3 linked regions of the Caenorhabditis elegans genome follow. The protein of the gene in region 2 purifies or fractionates together with the protein of the main gene of each other region. This does not show direct contact. Each region holds a gene or a part of one and is shown on either strand. Other genes may lie near its edges.

The links.
Region 1: the proteins of hsp-60 (region 2) and hrg-11.2 fractionate together in Caenorhabditis elegans (co-fractionation; one large-scale study listed by BioGRID). This does not show direct contact.
Region 3: the proteins of hsp-60 (region 2) and spg-7 fractionate together in Caenorhabditis elegans (co-fractionation; one large-scale study listed by BioGRID). This does not show direct contact.

Annotation. Positions count from the first base shown.
Region 1 is NC_003284.9:3,232,377-3,237,025, forward strand, and holds the start of hrg-11.2 (C-type LECtin), read right to left. Parts: upstream 3,033-4,649; 5' UTR 3,031-3,032; coding exon 2,851-3,030; intron 2,806-2,850; coding exon 2,694-2,805; intron 2,645-2,693; coding exon 2,022-2,644; intron 1,978-2,021; coding exon 1,917-1,977; intron 1,872-1,916; coding exon 1,701-1,871; intron 1,557-1,700; coding exon 1,485-1,556; intron 1,442-1,484; coding exon 1,250-1,441; intron 1,159-1,249; coding exon 1,041-1,158; intron 986-1,040; coding exon 865-985; intron 812-864; coding exon 668-811; intron 624-667; coding exon 1-623. Other genes in the region: Protein irg-7, read right to left, coding at 3,535-3,568, 3,616-3,819, 3,863-4,179, 4,224-4,307, 4,354-4,499, 4,543-4,649.
Region 2 is NC_003281.10:1,617,952-1,625,745, reverse strand, and holds the start of hsp-60 (Chaperonin homolog Hsp-60, mitochondrial), read right to left. Parts: upstream 6,005-7,794; 5' UTR 5,988-6,004; coding exon 5,841-5,987; intron 5,692-5,840; coding exon 5,383-5,691; intron 4,320-5,382; coding exon 3,927-4,319; intron 2,688-3,926; coding exon 2,310-2,687; intron 1,313-2,309; coding exon 995-1,312; intron 502-994; coding exon 340-501; 3' UTR 1-339. Other genes in the region: Y22D7AL.10 (10 kDa heat shock protein, mitochondrial), read left to right, coding at 6,824-6,850, 6,903-7,016, 7,356-7,475. UniProt on the Caenorhabditis elegans protein: Implicated in mitochondrial protein import and macromolecular assembly. May facilitate the correct folding of imported proteins.
Region 3 is NC_003279.8:3,465,461-3,470,163, reverse strand, and holds the start of spg-7 (AFG3-like protein spg-7), read right to left. Parts: upstream 3,033-4,703; 5' UTR 3,031-3,032; coding exon 2,911-3,030; intron 2,862-2,910; coding exon 2,699-2,861; intron 2,657-2,698; coding exon 2,584-2,656; intron 2,043-2,583; exon of another isoform or gene 1,977-2,042; intron 879-1,976; coding exon 680-878; intron 623-679; coding exon 498-622; intron 1-497. Other genes in the region: Y47G6A.14 (RING-type domain-containing protein), read left to right, coding at 3,876-3,927, 3,979-4,106, 4,155-4,200, 4,244-4,340, 4,386-4,455, 4,513-4,611, 4,666-4,703.

The DNA.
Region 1 (4,649 bases), on a different chromosome or scaffold from region 2:
TCGGGGACATTACAGATGAATGGTGGGAAGTAGAAGTGGAATTCACAAGCATCTCTGTACATTCCACTTGATCCGTAAACCTCTGTTTGAACTCCGTCGCGGATAGCATAAATCTGAAGATTGGCGTGCACGCGGTCCATAGAAATGAATTCGGGGTAGTTGGAAACATGGAAAACAGGAGAAGCATCAAAACCAGCAACTGGTTGGCGGAGAACTCCGGCTGCAGAAGTGAGGGTAGTTGCGAAAGACCAGAAAATGTCATAGTCTGGATTGTATTGGCTCATTCCACCAAGGTTATACTTCTTCTGGTATACTTTGAAGGTACACGCAGAGTTTGGTGAGTCGGAAACCAAATTGAAGAACCATTGTCCAGCGAAGATTTGGTTGGAGGTCCAAATGTAGTTAACACCATCATTGAATGCAACAAAGAAGTCAGGGTGTGCTCCGGTTGGGGTTGTGACTTGAAGTTTCAAGTTAGATCCTGTAGCAACAACGACAACTTGATCAGCAGTCACGTCAACTGCAACCGATTTGTAGATGTTTTGATTAGCACAGTGAGAGTAATCTCCAGATAGAGCAAGTTGAGAGCGGAACAACGTGTTGTACATATGAACGTAGAAGAACTTAAAATATAATGCATTAATATTAAAGAATTAAAGAAACATACGTTGGAGATAGTGGTTCTGTTGTTAAAGTAGAACGTGTTTCCGCTGGACATCGCAGCCATATCGACCATATCTCTGTACCCAGCACTATCGGGTGAAGTATTGCAGCCACTTCCAATTGCTGGTTGCACGTAAATGAAGTAGACCTGAAACATTCTGGTATTTTCGAATAACTTTAAATTTAATAAATTTTCCATACTGGTGCTCTCCAATAAGATTCCAAGTGTACAATTGTTTGCTTCTCAGTGCTATCATTTGGATTGGCATCAGTGATTACATAGATTGGTGATTTGTTAGTTGGATAAAGAGAAAGAGCAGATCTGTAAAACAACCATGAAGATTCTGTAAAACATTGAAAAACTAGTCGATACTTACGCAACAGCAGAGAAAACAACATCATCACATCCACCGTCGGATGGGGCAGAGTTAATCGCTTTAAGTAGATCAACCATAGCGGCATCCCATGAGTCATATCTCTGGTTTACCAAAAGCTCTAAAAATTAAAATATAATGCATTACCGTTTCCTGATAAGAAGGTAGGCTTATGGGAGCCACCCCGGTAAATTAGTTGCAAATCAACTCACTGGCGTTATCAAAGAGCACAACGATGAAATTAGTGAGATAGCCAGGCTCGGCAGATAGTTCATCGACAATTCTTGAAACTGAATTTGTGGCCTGTTGAATAACATCTGACAATTGGCTTCTAGAACGAATGACCAGAGTAACAGTCGGGTTTTCAGCATTGAAATCAATTCCGGATGCACCAGGGCAGACAACTGTAATGCATTTGTGATCAGTTTATTTTCCGAGGCGACTTACTATTTTGACAGTGGAAACCGGTGAATCCTTCTGGACATTCACAATGTTCGCTTGTGGGAGTTGGAAGGAATCCTGAAAAATAAAATATTTGATGACCAATTTAGGCTGGCTCAAAAAAGTGTCCTTTTTAGAAGGTTGTCTTTGTGTTATCAACCATGTAGCACATCAATGGCAACATAGCGTTTTCTATTTAACAGCTCTAGTTACAGTATTCACCTCCATTAGCACACAACATCTGAGAACAGTCACGTCCGGTGTATAGTCCAAAACAGTAACAGTATGGTGAACCACTGGAATCCTTCAAAACTTGACCTCCGTTCTGGCAGGTTGTCAATGGAGCAGCGGTTGTTGTTGGAGCAGGGACAGTGGTGGTAGACACTGGTGGCACTAAATTACTCAGGTTGATTATTGTTGTCAACTACGTTCACTTACAAATACATTGGTAGGGCAGAATACGACGGAAAACGTATCCGTTATCGCTCATTCCTTCAACCTGAACTTTTATGATTGCAATTTATATCAATTCATTGCACTTACCTGTAATAAATTGTGCCCAATATCGTTATTTCCAATTTTTCTGCAAGTATACCTCTCCAAAATATATGGATAAGTACAATTGAAGCGAGTTGCCATAGGAATGTATCTTGAGATATGGTTCTCGGCGCCAGTGAATCCAATCGCCTGAATTTGACCGGGAAAGTGTAGTCCTTGTGCATGAAGAACAACAGCTGATTCAGTGTCAAAATAGGCAAACTTGAGGGTTGGATAGTCGCTGCGCTCTGGTTGATCGCCTGATGTAAAACCTCCAGTAACTTGAATATTGGTATGAGCGGTCATCATCATAGTACAAAATTCATCTCCAGAATCAGCTCTTGGTCCGAGAAGATACTGGCCTGGCGCTAAAGTCTCATATGTTGCCACATAGGAAGTTACGGTTTTTCTGTCAGTGTCAGGGAAGATCAGATCTCCACTCTCAGATTGGAGGTAGAAAGTTGGATTCAATGGTGACTCAGTTTCGACCTCAATTTTGATATTCCGCATGGTCTCATCAACAACAACGACGTATGTTTGACTGCAGTTTGCAAGATTTGTTGCATCAATAGAGATATCGTCAGAATCCTTGTTATCAGGAATGTAAGGATTGCGAGCAGAGCACAATGCTAAGAAATTGCATTTTTAGTTTAAAAACACATATGTGATCCGACTTACGATATTGACAGGTGGCTCCTGTGTATCCTGGCTTGTTACATCCTCTGGTGGCCATTCCAGCAAAAACATGAGGCTCGGCGATAGATCTTTTGGAGATATGATGAGTATCAACCTGAAACCATATATGGAACATAGTTAAACGAAATCTAGAACTTACAAAGAGATCGGACTGCTCATCGAATTGAATCTTCTGTTCACTGACTGGGTGGAAGAGTTGATTACTGTTGGCCGGGTTCCATGACTTTAAGACTTTGCGGATTCTCTCTTTGTGACTGAGCTCAGGCTCAGCGCCCAGGCAGATCACGGCTAACGCCGCAATCAAAACCCAGCTTCTCATTACTGAAATTTCACATTAATTTAATTGCTCTTAAACTCCAAAAAAACTAAATATCGTAAAAGGTATTGAGTTCTGAAAATGAATGTGAAAAGGCAGGAGCAGCCTGGCAAATCTAATGAAATTATCATGAAATAATGATTTAAACCCTTTTTAATCGCAAAAGGAGAGTGTGTCCGGCACGTCATATCACCGTGGCAAACTCTTATCTTTGCCATCTCAAACAGTATTAAAATTTATTCCACGCCCTTTGCATTCTAATTGAGTAGTAGCAGAATAATGTCACAGAATACGATTTTGTATCATCAAATTATTATCAAGCACTTTCTGATGATTTCGACTTGAAGTTCAACCACTAGTAAAGTTTATTGAATTGCCATCACATTTCACTTTTGTATTATATTTTTTCTCTCGTAATTTTGATTTTTCGGTCCAACACATAAATTGTTAAATAATGATAAGTTTATTAAAATTCAAATTATTTCAGTGATTTCCGGGTCGACTGCCTTAGTTGTTGATACAGTAGACACCTCCATTGGCGCTGAAAATAAGAACATTTCACTTAATGAACACACTTATATATCTTACTTGGCATTGAGGATAAGTTGCTGAATGGTCTTAATTTGGTTATTCAAACTAGCAAAATCTGGAGCTGTAAACGAGCAAGCACTTCCTCCGGAAATAGTTTGCAACTTGTTGTTATCAGTCGCGCCACCATAACCAATAGTGATGATTCCGTATTGCTTCTGCGCGAGAATTGTCTGAGCTGCCGGAGTTGGATCGGTGTCGAAGCTAAAAAATATTAATTTTATCTGGCAATCTTTTGAACACTTACGCAGTAGTTGTAGTAAGGTAGATCAACACATGGTTGCTAATGCCACTACGGTAACCATTGTTCGCCGCCATGAAATCGGGAGAAGACACAATTTGAAGAGTGTAGTTAAGAATTTGCCCGGCGTCTTCAAAGTCAGTGTAGCCACCGCTGAGTTGGGCCAAGTTAGAGTTCAACATTGCTTGAGAGGAGAGGGAGTTCAGATTGGCAGCAGGAGGAATTGGGTTTGTGATATCACCTCCGACGACAATTAATCCAACACGAGCTCCACTCTGGCCAACATTGAACGAAACCATGAATGTTTGAACAAATTTGGTGAGCTGAAATTCATATGATGGAAACATAAAGGGCATATAATGTATACCGAGTCAAAGCTGGATTGTGCACTTTGTGATCCATCGATCATAAATACAACATCAAACTGAGCGGATGTGTATGGATTTTGGGTCTGTAAGTTCAGAATTTCTAAATCACCAGTAATACTTGAAATTTACCGTGGCGACTGGTCCCTGAGTTGGTTGAGTTCCTGGGACTTGAGTTTGCTGAGTTACTGGACCTTGAGTCAGCGCGGTTTGTTGAGTTGGCATGGTGATTGGGCCAATTGTTCCTGTTGCTGGCTGGTTGGTTGTTGGGCTACGTCCTGAAAAATTTCTTGCACAATTAAACAAGTAAGCGTATATTACCATTGCAGATGACAATTTCTTGTCTTCTGAACTTTTGGTTTGCTTCATCAACTCCATGAACATAGACGGCAATCATGTCGCCGTTGCAAGTGAACAAATCAGAGTAG
Region 2 (7,794 bases):
GTGAAAACAAAGAAAAAAACGGAAAAAAAAAACAAGGAGATTCTATATATTATACTCTAAAAACAAGGGGAAAAACACTAAACTAAAAAAAATTGAGGTCCTAAAATTGCGAAAAAATTAAAAAAAAAAACACCATTGAAAAGTTATCATCAAAAAAAGGGGAAAAAGAGCCGTAAAACAAGAAAAAAACAAATGGCTCAGAGCACAAAAGATCATAATTTTTTTGGGGAAATTTTTGGGGAAAAAATGATGGGAAAAACGACAAAATTGAGCAAAAACCAGTGTTTTAGAGAGAAAATCAATCCATCGGTGTCGTTATTTCAATGAGAGATTGAGAGCTTAGAATCCCATTCCTCCCATACCGCCCATTCCACCCATTCCACCCATTCCACCGGCTGGTCCACCAACTGCTTCTTCCTTTGGAATTTCGGTGACTACGCATTCGGTTGTGGCGAGAAGTGAGGCGACTCCTGAAGCATCTTGGAGAGCTGTGCGAACCACCTGGAAATTTGGAAAATTGCGGTTTTTGGGGAGATTTTTTTTTGCATAAAAATTTTCGATTTTTCTTGAAATGTTGAATTTTCAGGGTTTTTTTTTCCAAAAAAAAAAAAAAGACGGCCAGAAGCAATTTTTTTCCATTTTTTGACCAATTTTTGAACTACTTTCAAATAATTTCTGCTGAAAAACTCCAATTTTTGGCTGAAAAATTTAAATTTTCACGTAAAATCCAAATTTTCCGCCTGAAAACTTCAAATTTTCAAGAAAATTCCTAATTTTTGGCTTAAAAATGAAAATTTTCAGTGAAATAATGCAATTTTTGGCTAAAACATTAAAATTTTGGAGGAAAATCCAAATTTTTGGCTCAAAAATTCAAATTTTCACGAAAAATTCAAATTTTTTGGCTAAAAATTCAAATTTTGGAGGTAAATCCAAAATTTTTGTCTCAAAAATTCAAATTTTCACGAAAAATTCAAATTTTTGACGCTGTATATACCTTAGTTGGATCGATAATTCCAGCCTCGAACATGTCAACGAACTTTCCGTTGAGCGCATCATAACCATATGATGTATTGCTGTTTCCGGTGACTTCATCAATAATCGACGATGGCTCAAGACCGGCATTTTTGACGATTGTGGCGATTGGCTGAGTGAGAGCCTTCTTGACGATATTCACACCGATCTGTTGATCCTCGTTGGCTGCTTTGTAGTTTTTGAGTGCTGTCAGAGATCTGAGAAGAGCAACACCTCCTCCTGGAACGATTCCTTCTTCGACAGCGGCACGCGTGGCACACAGAGCATCGGTGACACGGTCCTGTAATGAAAAAAAAATTGATGAAAAATCATACAAAAAATTGCAGAAAACCGATAAAATCTGGTGGAAATCAAGATTTTTCCGCGCAGGAAAACCAAAATTTCTGCTATTTTTGAGCATGCTCAGCGGGAAAAATCAATTTAACAGTTTTTTCCGCGTTTTTTTATCAATTTTTTCAGTTGAAATTGCGAAAAAAACAGTTATTTTCGGCTTCTAACAACAAAATTTTAAGTGGCAATTGCGAAAAATTTCGGCTAGAAAGTTCGAATTTTAAGAAACATCCATATTTTTGGCTGAAAATATCAAATTTTCAGGGAAAATCCAATTTTTTGGCTGAAAATATCAAATTTTTAAGGAAAATGCAAAATTTTGTCTGAAAAATTCAAATTGGCAAAATAGCCATTTTTTCGAACCAAAAATCGGCTGGAAATTGCTAAAATCGCAAATTTTAATGTTTTCCGGCAGAAATCTGTAGTTTACACGGCAAAATCAAGCTGAAAATGATCGACTAAAAAATTCTAACTTTCAAGAAAAATCCAAATTTTTGGCTGAAAAAATCAAATTTTCAAGAAAAATTCAAATTTTTGGCTGAAAAATTCAGATTTTTGGCTAAAAAAATTCAAATTTGTAAGAAAAAGTCAGATTGTTTAAATAAAAATTTAAATTTTCAAGAAAAATCTGCAGATTTAGTGGGTTTCTTTCACAAAAATGGGGGAATTTACCATAAATTTTACTCGAAAGGAGCACAAAGAGAATCTTGCGTTTTGTTGCAAATAAAAATAAAAAACTGAGTTTTAACGAGTTTCCAATGGCACAAACGGCACAAAAAAGGTTTTAAAATCAGGTTTCTCGACAAAAATCTGGTAGAAATTGAGGTTTTTTTAAACCAATTTTCTGCTAAAAAAAGCTCAAAAATGAACGGATTTTGATCATTTTCCCACGGAAAATAGCCAGTTTTTCTTCAATTTTTCTCCAATTTCAGCCAAATTCCGCACACCTTCTTCTCTCCAACTTCAACTTCAGATCCTCCTCCAATCTTGAGCACAGCGACTCCCTTGCTCAACTTGGCGAGACGCTCATTAAGCTTCTCCTTCTCGTAATCGCTCGTCGATTGCTCAATTTCATCGGTGATGTGCTCGATTCGCTTCTCGATCTCTGTTTGATCTCCACGCCCGCGAAGAAGAAGAGTATCGTCCTTGGTGATGGTGACCTCATCGACTTCTCCGAGATCGTTGGCTGTGATATCCTCGATCTTAATGAGATTCGAGTCATCTCCAAAGATCGTTGCTCCCGTCGCAATTCCCATATCCTTGAGCGTGTTCTTGCGGTTATCTCCGAATCCTGGAGCCTTGATTGCGACGACTTGAAGTCCGACCTGGAAGAGAAAATTCTGCGGTTTTACAGGGTTTTTAGTGAAAAATTAGTTTTTTTTTAAACTTAAAATCGTGGAAAATGATGGAGTTTAGAGGTTTTTCAGTGAAAATATGTATTTTTTAGCAAAAATAGCAAAAATAGACTTTCTCAGAAGTCAATGCGCACTTTTTCACTGATAAAAATGGAAAATTATGTAGAATACTGAATAAATCCGACCTGGAAGAAAATTCTGCGGTTTTAAAGGTTTTTCAGTGTAAAACACATTAATTAACTTTAATTTAGCGCGATTTTCAGGTGAAATCTTCATGTTTTTGGAGAAAATCCAGGAAATTATGAAATTTCCTGGCGATTTTCTTGCTGAATCCCTAGTTTCTTCTGCTTTTTTTCTATTTTCTTGCCGTAAAATTTGTAAAACTCTCTCAACTGATAAGAAAAAGAAGATATATTATCATTCTCTAATCAAGGTCGCTCGTATTTTGTTGCGAGTAGCCTCCTGCTGCTAACAAACATCACTGATCAAAAAATGCTCGCGGTTCTTTGAACTTGAATTTTCTGATAAAAATTCAAGTTTTCTAGGCTAAAAACGTGAATTTCCGGGGATTTTTTGGACGAATACAAAATTTTTGCAGCATTTTTAGCCATTTTTCAGTCGAAATTGGCAAAAAAACACATTTTTTCGAACCAAAAATCGGGATATTAAAAGTTTTTAATGCCAAAATAAGTAATTTCCGGCAGAAATCTGTAGTTTCCAAAAGTTTGTAAAATCAAGCTGAAACTGATCCGAAAAACAGTAATTTTCGGCTTTTAAACGAATTTTTCAGTCGAAATTGCGAAAAATTTTGGCTGGAAAGTTCGAATTTCAAGAAGAATCAAAATTTTTGGGTGGAAAATTCAACATTTCAGGAGAAATCCAAATTCTTGGCTGAAAAATTGAAGTTTTCAAGAAAAATCCAAATTTTTGGCTGAAAAATTCAAAATTTCAGGGAAAATCCAAATTCCTGGCTGAAAAATTCAAAATTTCAAGAGAAATCCAAATTCCTGGCTGAAAATTTCGAATTTTGTACTTTTTTTTCGTATTTGGGGGTAAACTAATCAAGAAAACGTCGGGTTTCAGCAAATTTCGCATTTTTCTCCGTATTTGGGGGCAATAATCGAAATAACGCGAATTTCCGTCAAAAAATGGAGTTTCAACGCTGGTTTTCGACAAAATTTGCAGTTTTTCGCTTCTTGTCGTCTGTACCTTAAGTCTATTAAGAACAAGAGTGGTAAGAGCCTCTCCATCAACATCCTCGGCAATGATAACCAATGGACGGCGGAGCTTGTTGGCGAGCTCAAGAGCCGGCACAATATCCTGAACTTGGCTGATCTTCTTCTCGCTCAACAAGACAAGAGCCTTCTCGTACTCGACTTTAGCTCCTTTCGCAGAGGTGATAAAGTACGGCGAGATGTATCCTCTGTCGAACTTCATTCCCTCGATAAGCTCGAGCTCATCGTTCAGCGTTTTTCCGTCCTTAACAGTGATGACTCCAGTGGTTCCGACCTTCTTCATGGCGTCACTGATGAGATTTCCGACGACGGTGTCTCCATTGGCGGAAATTGTGGCGACTTGAGCGATCTCTTCGGGGGTGGTGACCTGCAGGAACAAGTTTTTTTTAGTTAAATTATTGCTAAATTTAGTTTTTTTTCTGATTTTTTAGGTTTCTAGGCGCGATTTTTGGTTTAAAACAAGTAAAAATTCAGGTATATCGAGCAAATATAGTCAGAAATAGTCGCGATTTCCCTACAAATCTGTGAATTTTTGGCCATTTTTTCGGGATATTAGGGCTTTTTCATTCAAACAACAAGCTTTTCGTCCTGAATTGGGTAAAAAATAGTGGCTTTTCAAGGTTTTTCAGGGCAAATCAGTGAAATTTTGTCAGCTTTCCGGATTTTTAAGGTTTTTCCGTCAAACAAAATAAGATTTTCGTTCTGAATTGGGTAAAAATTGCGGGGTTTCTATGGATTTTGGCCAAAAATTCGATATTTTCAGCTTTTCAGGCCAACATTGAATGAATACCGCTTCAAAATTGGATCAGAGCTCACAACTGTTTGAAAAAACACGAAATTTTGCAAATTTTCCGGGATATTAGGTGCTTTCGTCCTGAATTGGGGAAAATTGCGGGTTTTTATTGATTTTGGCCAAAAATTCGATATTTTCAGCTTTTCAGGCCAACATTGAATGAAAAATTGCATCAGAGCTGCCAATTGTTCCAAAAAGCACCACATTTTGGCGAACTTTTTGAATTTTCAAGGTTTTTCGAGACAAATCAGTGAAAATTTGTAATTTTTCGGGAATATTCGGGTTTTTCCGTCAAACAATAAGCTTTTCGTCCTGAGTAGGGGAAAAATGACGGTTTTTCAAGATTTTCAGAGCAAATCAGTGAAATTTTGTCAGTTTTCCGGAATATGAAGGTTTTTCCGTCGAACAAATAAGCTTTATGGCCCGAATTGGGAAAAAATGACGGTTTTTTGAAGATTTTGAATTCCTGGCAACTGATTTTAGCCACAAATTCGCGATTTTCAAGCAGATTTGAGCGAAATTCTAGTTTTTCCTCTAACATCAAATGAAAATCGCTTCAAAATTGGGTCAAAAATCCCAATTTTTCCAAAAATCACTGTGGCTTTTGAATTTAAATCCACAATTTCCCGGTATTAACCTTCTTGGAGATCTTCTTGAGCTCTGCAACGACGACTTCGACGGCGTTCATGACTCCACGACGGATCTCGACAGCGTTTCCGCCTTGACGAATGCTCTCGAATCCCTCTTTGGCGATGGCTCTGGCGAGAACTGTGGCGCAGGTGGTTCCGTCTCCAGCCTCCTCATTAGCCTTGTTGGCGACATCTTGAATGAGCTTGGCTCCCAGGTTCTGGTATTTGTCCTTGAGGTCGATGGATTTCGCGACGGTGACTCCGTCCTTTGTGATCTTTGGGCTTCCCCACGACTGCTCGATGATCACGTTTCTTCCCTGAAAGAGTTTGGAGTTTTAGAGGCTGTATTTATGAAGAAAAAAAAATTAAATTTTGCATTAAACCGGAAGTTTTGTGTATAAAAATACGTTAAAATAGATTTTTTTACAGCATTTTTTCCTCAATTTTCACATCAAAATCCCCGTACTTTTGGGCCCATAGTGACAGAGACGGCGTCGGCGAGCAGGTTGACTCCGACGAGCATGGCCTGTCGTCCTTCGGCTCCGAACTTGACGTCCTTGGCGTAAGATCTGACGACGGCGGTCTGAAGTCCCTTTCTGGCGAGGCGAAGCATCTTTTGTGTCTGAAAAACTACGAAAATTGTGTGAAAATCTGCAGCGGAAAGGCGAAAATGCGAGCAAAATCAGAGTTTCTCATCGAAAATGAAGCGAGAAGCCTTGCATTATCGTCTGAGAAGCAGAAAAGGAGTGAAAAATAACGAGAATGGATGAGAAATCGGCTGGGAAAACGGTAAAACAGATATTTCCCCTAATTTAGACGATAAATGGCCTATAAATAAGCATTTTTCAATCGTTTTTTATGAAAATGAAGCGAGAAGCCTTGCATTATCGTCTGGGAAGCAGGTAATGACTGAAAAATACAGGAATAAATGAGAAAATAGCTGGGAAAACTGTAGAATAGTTTTTTCCCCTAATTTCGACGAAAAATGGCCCAAAAATAAGCATTTTTCAATGGTTTCTGATGAAAATAGAAGCAAAAAACCTCAATTTTTCGTTCAAAATATGAAAAATGAGAGAAAAATAACGAAAATGACGCAAATTTTGATGTAAAATGGCTAATTTACATCAGAATAGACTTTTGCATCATTTCACTCGCTCCGCCCAGTTTTGCAAGGTGCGCACACTTTTCTAGGTGGAGCTGAGCGCGCTGATTGGCTGAATTTGCGGCGCGGTGTCTGCCATTGGCCCGACACGCCTAGATTTGCAAGTTTGCCGCACGAGATTTTTCGCGCCGCACATTTATTTTCTGCTTTTTTTCTCGAAGCTTCTTTTGGTTTTTTGATCATTTTCTGAATTTTCGCGGGTTTCTTCGGGTTTTTTCGTTGTTTTCATGTAATTTCCCGCTAAAAATAAATTTTAAAACTCAAAAAACCAATTTTTCAGCCGAAAAATGTTCCTCACCGCTGTCCGCCGATCGGTAAGCTATTTTCCCGGTGTTTTCTCCGAATTAAACGCGTATTTTTTTGCAGAGCAATGTCCTCAAGACCTTCAAGCCACTCTATGATCGTGTGCTCGTCGAGAGAGTCGCCGCCGAGACCAAGACAAAGGGAGGAATCATGCTCCCGGAGAAGTCACAGGGAAAAGTGAGCAATTTTTGGCCTAAAAATTGATTTTTCAGGTGAAAACTGATAAATTTCAACGTCTTGGAGCAGATTTCTAGCACAAAAATGCCAATTTCACCGTCAAAATGGTGCAACTTGGCGTCTAAAACACAGTTTCTAGCTAAAAACCTTCAATTTTATACGAAAAATGTTAATTTTCACCGAAAATTCCGTAAAGTCTGGTGTAATGATGCAATTATCGATTTTCCCTGCCAACACGCTCTCCGACTGCTCGCGGAGGTTTTTGTCCAATTTTTATCCGAAATTACCGAATTTTCACTCAAATTAAAGCAATTTCCACCTAATTTTCGAATATTTCAGGTCCTTGAAGCCACCGTCGTCTCTGCCGGAGCCGGACTTCGCAACGAGAAGGGAGAGCTCGTCGCATTGACTGTGAAGCCAGGAGATCGTGTCCTTCTCCCAGAATACGGAGGCACCAAGGTACAAAATGCGACGAATTTCGAGCGAAAATATGGATTAATTGGCGAATTTTTAATGTGAAAATCTGAATTTCCGTTGAAATTTCACACAATTTGGACGAAAATCGGGATTTTTTTTAACATTTCAGTGTAAAAGTAGCGTTATATTACTGAAAAGTCATTGAAATCAACGAAAATTGCACAAAAATTGTGTTTTTTCAGCCGAAATCCAAGATTTTTTCAGAAAAATCAGGAAAAATTGTATTAAAATACGATTTTTCCCCCAAAAACTGAATATCACGCGCTTTTCGCTCTAAATTATTGGGGAAATACCTTTAATA
Region 3 (4,703 bases), on a different chromosome or scaffold from region 2:
ATCAGCAAAATTTTTTTTTTTGAATTTTTTGGCAAAAAATCAGAAACATCGGATTTTTTAAAAGACTTTTAGTGCAAAAATTCAGCAAAATTGAGATTTTCTCGAATTTTTAGGCAAAAAACAGCCTAACTGCGTTTTTTTAAAAATTTTTCTGCAAAAAACCAGCAAAATTAATTTTTGTTTTTGAAATTTTCAGGCAAAAAATCAGAAAAATCGGATTTTTTTTTTGAAATTTTAGTGCAAAAAACGAGCAAAAAGCAACTTTTTCCATAATTTTTGTGCAAAATTTTCATTTTCAGTGACTTTCTGAAGGTTTTCACTTTAAAAACAAAATTTTAACTACAAAAAATGTGAAAAATTAAAAGTTTTTCTGAATTTTCATGCAAAAATTATAACTTTTCCCATTTCCCAGAGCTTTTTCTTTAAGAAAATCGGGGGTTTTTTCTTTTTTTCTCTAATTTTTCTTGAAATGGAGTGATTTTTGCAGAAATCCTTACAAATTGAATTCAGATTTATATAAAACCGGAATTTGTCGATCAGCATCATACTGGAGATGATGCTGAGCAGCTCCGAGGCTCCGTTCGAAGCTATCCACACTTCCGATGTTGAAATAGCACGTTTGCTGAAAGAAAAAAATTCATTTTTTCACGAATTTCAGTGCAAAAACTAAAAAACTAACTCCTGCATACTTTCCAGACGAGCTAACAATTCGAACCCATCGCTTATCAACTACTTCAAGTCTCTCGACAAGTCCAGCTTCCAGGAAATCACTGTAAAACTCCTTCCAGGAAATTTCACGATACGACTGATAATCCATAAAGGCGTAGAGAGCGAGCAGAATTCCAACTGAAACGGCAATTTGTTGCCATCCTCCTGGGCTGAAAATTGGAGGAATTAGATTGATTTTAAGGGGTTTTAGAGGTTTTCTCCGTTTTTTTAAAGGTGGACTACGCTCAGTGGGTAAATTGCTTTAAAACGCGCCTATGGGGTCACATTGACCGAATATCATGATATTAAAATTCAAAAAAATTTTCCAGATTTTATATGATTTTTTGAAAATTGGAAAAATCACAGTTTTCACCTAATTATTTTTGAATTTCCGCCAATTGAATTTGTTCGGTGGAGCGCACTTGCATTATTTTTATTTATTAATTTTATTTATTCTCGTTATTTGACTGATTTTCTTCATTTTCTATGTTTTTTCCTCGGAAAATGGAAGAAATAAAAAAGACAAATGCAACATTTTTGTTAAAAAGTAATTGAAAATGAGTAAAACTGTGATATTCTGAGTTCCGACGGCAACAAGCCTGAAATTAGTATATTTCACAGTTTTACTCATTTTCAATTACTTTTTAACAAGAATTTTGCATTTGTCTTGTTTATTTCTTCCATTTTCCGAGGAGAAAACATAGAAAATGAAGAAAATCAGTCAAAGAACAAGAATTTAAAAAAATTAATTGATAAAAATACTGCAAGCACGCTCCACCGAACAAATCCAATTGGCGGAAATTCAAAAATAATTAGGTGAAAACTGTGATTTTTCCTATTTTCAAAAAATCATATAAAATCTAGAAAATTGTTTTGATTTTTTTCACATCGATATTTGGAATGAGAAGAAAATTTGGAGACATTTGAAAATATTTTCCAGATTTCGGTACCCCACTTTTAAATCTTAGAAAAGGTAAATGTGCTCAAAAGAGGCACCACGTTTTCAAGATCTAGCCGGAAACGAGATCTACGAAAAGGAGGTCTACATTTTCAGGATCTGGCACCATGCCAACTGCGGTTTTCGCAGTCTACTCGAAGAAAAAGCAACGATGCTCCGATATTACGCATCGCACGTTGTTTAGTCAGAAAAACCTTTTTTGAATAAAAACTTCTGAAAAACGCTAAACAACTCGCGATGCGTAATATCGGAGCATCGTTATTTCGATTTTCTTCGAGAAAACTGCGAAAACTGCACTTGGCACGGTGCCAGATCCTGAAAACGTAGATCTTCTTCTCGTAGATCTTGAAAACGTGGTGCCCCGCTCAAAAACATCGTGGGCGGAGCAAAAAACCGTGCCAGAATTGCAAAAATGGGCGTTTTTTTGTTTTTTTTTTCTCGGAATTTTTTTTCAACGATTTGGAAAATTCGTGATTTCATTAAATTTTGAATTTTATTGAAATGATTCCGAAATCCCGAATTTTCGATTTTTGAAAATCTGGAAAAATGGAGAAAATGCTAAAAACGCCAATTTTTGCAACTCTGGCACGGTTTTTGCTCTGCCAATAAAACTTTTTAAAAAAACTGCTAATTTTAGCTAAAATCACCAATTTATTTTAAAAATATTGGATTTTACAAGTTTTTTCCGGATCTTTGGGACAATTTTTGCCAAAAAGTTCAAAATACGGCCCGGGAAACCTGTAAAAGTCAATTTTTTGAAATACTCCAAAGAAATTCGACTAGAAATGATTTCCGGGGCTTCTCCGAGACTTCAATAAACAAAATAACGTGGTGAAAAGCATCTAAATGATGATAATTTGGGCGAAATTTCAGATTTTAGCCAAAATTAGCCGATTTTTGTGTCTATTCCTCCTCACAATTGATTAAACGGATTATTATCCTCTCCCTTATTTCCTTTGCTGTCCTTTTTGTCAGAAGATGATGAAGATTCTGGAAAAAACTTCGAATTAATGATAATTTCCCTCTGAAAACCTTTATTATCCGTCGATGCTTCCTTCCTGAAGAACTTTTTCAAATCATTTGGTTTCGAGGCGAAATATCGAATTGTCTGCTGTACTTGATTGAAGAATCGCTCTTCAAATCGCTGATCTTTTGCGAGAAGATGCAGAACTTCTTGTTGTTTTAGCACGGATTTCTGCAAAAAAATTCAGAATTTTCAGTATACTGGCAGGCGGTAATATTACATCATCTTTGGCTACTGCTGAAAATGAGCTGACTGAAAATTGGCGGGAATTGACAGATTTGAAGCATGATTCGACCGAATTTCTCAGCTGCTTCGGCGTTTTTCGGTATAATCGCCACATTTCTGCAATAGAATTTAATTATCATAATCATGCACTGCGCAAACAGTGAGAGATGACGAAATCTTCGATTTTAAGATTGAGGAACGAGGGAAAAAATTAAAAACAACCAAATTTCAGCCGTTTTCTACTTTTTCGAATATTTTTTCTCGAGAAAAATGTTTAAAATTATGCAAAATACAAGGAAAAACCATAAAGCTTCAAAAATACTGAGCACTTTTTAGAAAATAGCAAGCGCGCTCCATCGCACAAGACAATGCGCGCGTCGTTTGAAATTAGTTTCCAGTGCACAGAGCCATGACGCAAAAGTGAACGATTAGTTTGCGAAAGTACTTTGAGAAATTTTGGAAAGAAATTGGCAAAAAAAACGTTGTGAAATTAAAAATCAATGTGAATTTCCATGGAAAACAGGCATTTTTTGGGCAAATGTTTTTTTTTTGAGAAACTGACGGTATTGGTAGATTTTCAGTGTGGATAATCTATGGATTTTATTATATACTGAATTAAAATTCATTAAATAGTGTAAAAACATAATAAAATTGTGAAAATCAAACCGGAATCACGGGAAATTTGATTCAAAACATTGAAATTCGATGACGAAATAAACAAAGGTCTTACTGTAGTTTTTAAAGGCGCAAGCACATTATCCTCCTTGAGACTTGAAGCGAAAACGCTTGAAACTCAAATATTTGCAAAAACATTAATTTTTCCGGATATAAATTGTATAAATTGTTTTTCCTTAATTTTAAACGAAAATTTCAATTATTCGACGATTAAAAATAACGAAAATTTAAAAATATTGATTTTTCTAATTTAAAAAACTTTATTTTTCAGAATTTTCGAGAAAAATGGATGTTAATGAAGAACTCCCGACTTGCCCTGTGTGCCAGGAAGAATTTGGTGAAAAATATCCCAATTTTTATTGTAAAACAAGCACATTTTTATTTTCAGATGATCAAAAGGCTCCATTCATCATATCTTGTGGCCATTCTCTATGCGAAACTTGCATTGTGCACTTGAAAAGCGATTATTCTGACGCATATGGATCTGGTGGCCAGACACAATGCCCGACATGCCGCGTATGGCTTAAATATATTGATATCTGTTTAAAAATAAAATAATTTCAGGCCGTGGTTAGCAAGGAGAAGCGAACAAAAAACTTTGCATTGACAAGTTTTAAAAATATTCATATTTCCCGAAAAAAACTATTTTTCAGATGCTGTGACCATGATCCAAAAGCTTCGTGAGAAGCCAAAGAAGCCTGCAAATGCAGTGGACTGCACTCAATGCACCAAATACGACAACGAATCGGAGTAGGCCTCTTTTAATTAGAAATAACAAAAAAATTCAATTTCCAGCATGTTCGTCTGCCGCAATTGCGTCACTGATGCCTTCAAATACGACGTCGTGGAGAATTTGGGTGCCGAGGTCCGGAAAATATCCAATTTCAAAAAAAAAAAAAAAATTGAAAAATGATTTTTTAAGGTGGATTTGGATATCAAATCGTTGGCGCTTTGTGGAAGTTGTGCACTGCGATCTCATGTCACACAGGGCCACGAGACTGTGGCTTATTTCCCGGTTGCGGTATATTTAAAAAATTTATTTGTAAAGAAAAGACTTAAAATTGTAAATTTTCAGTCCGGAATGAACTTCGCAAGCCAGCTTACAAGTATTTC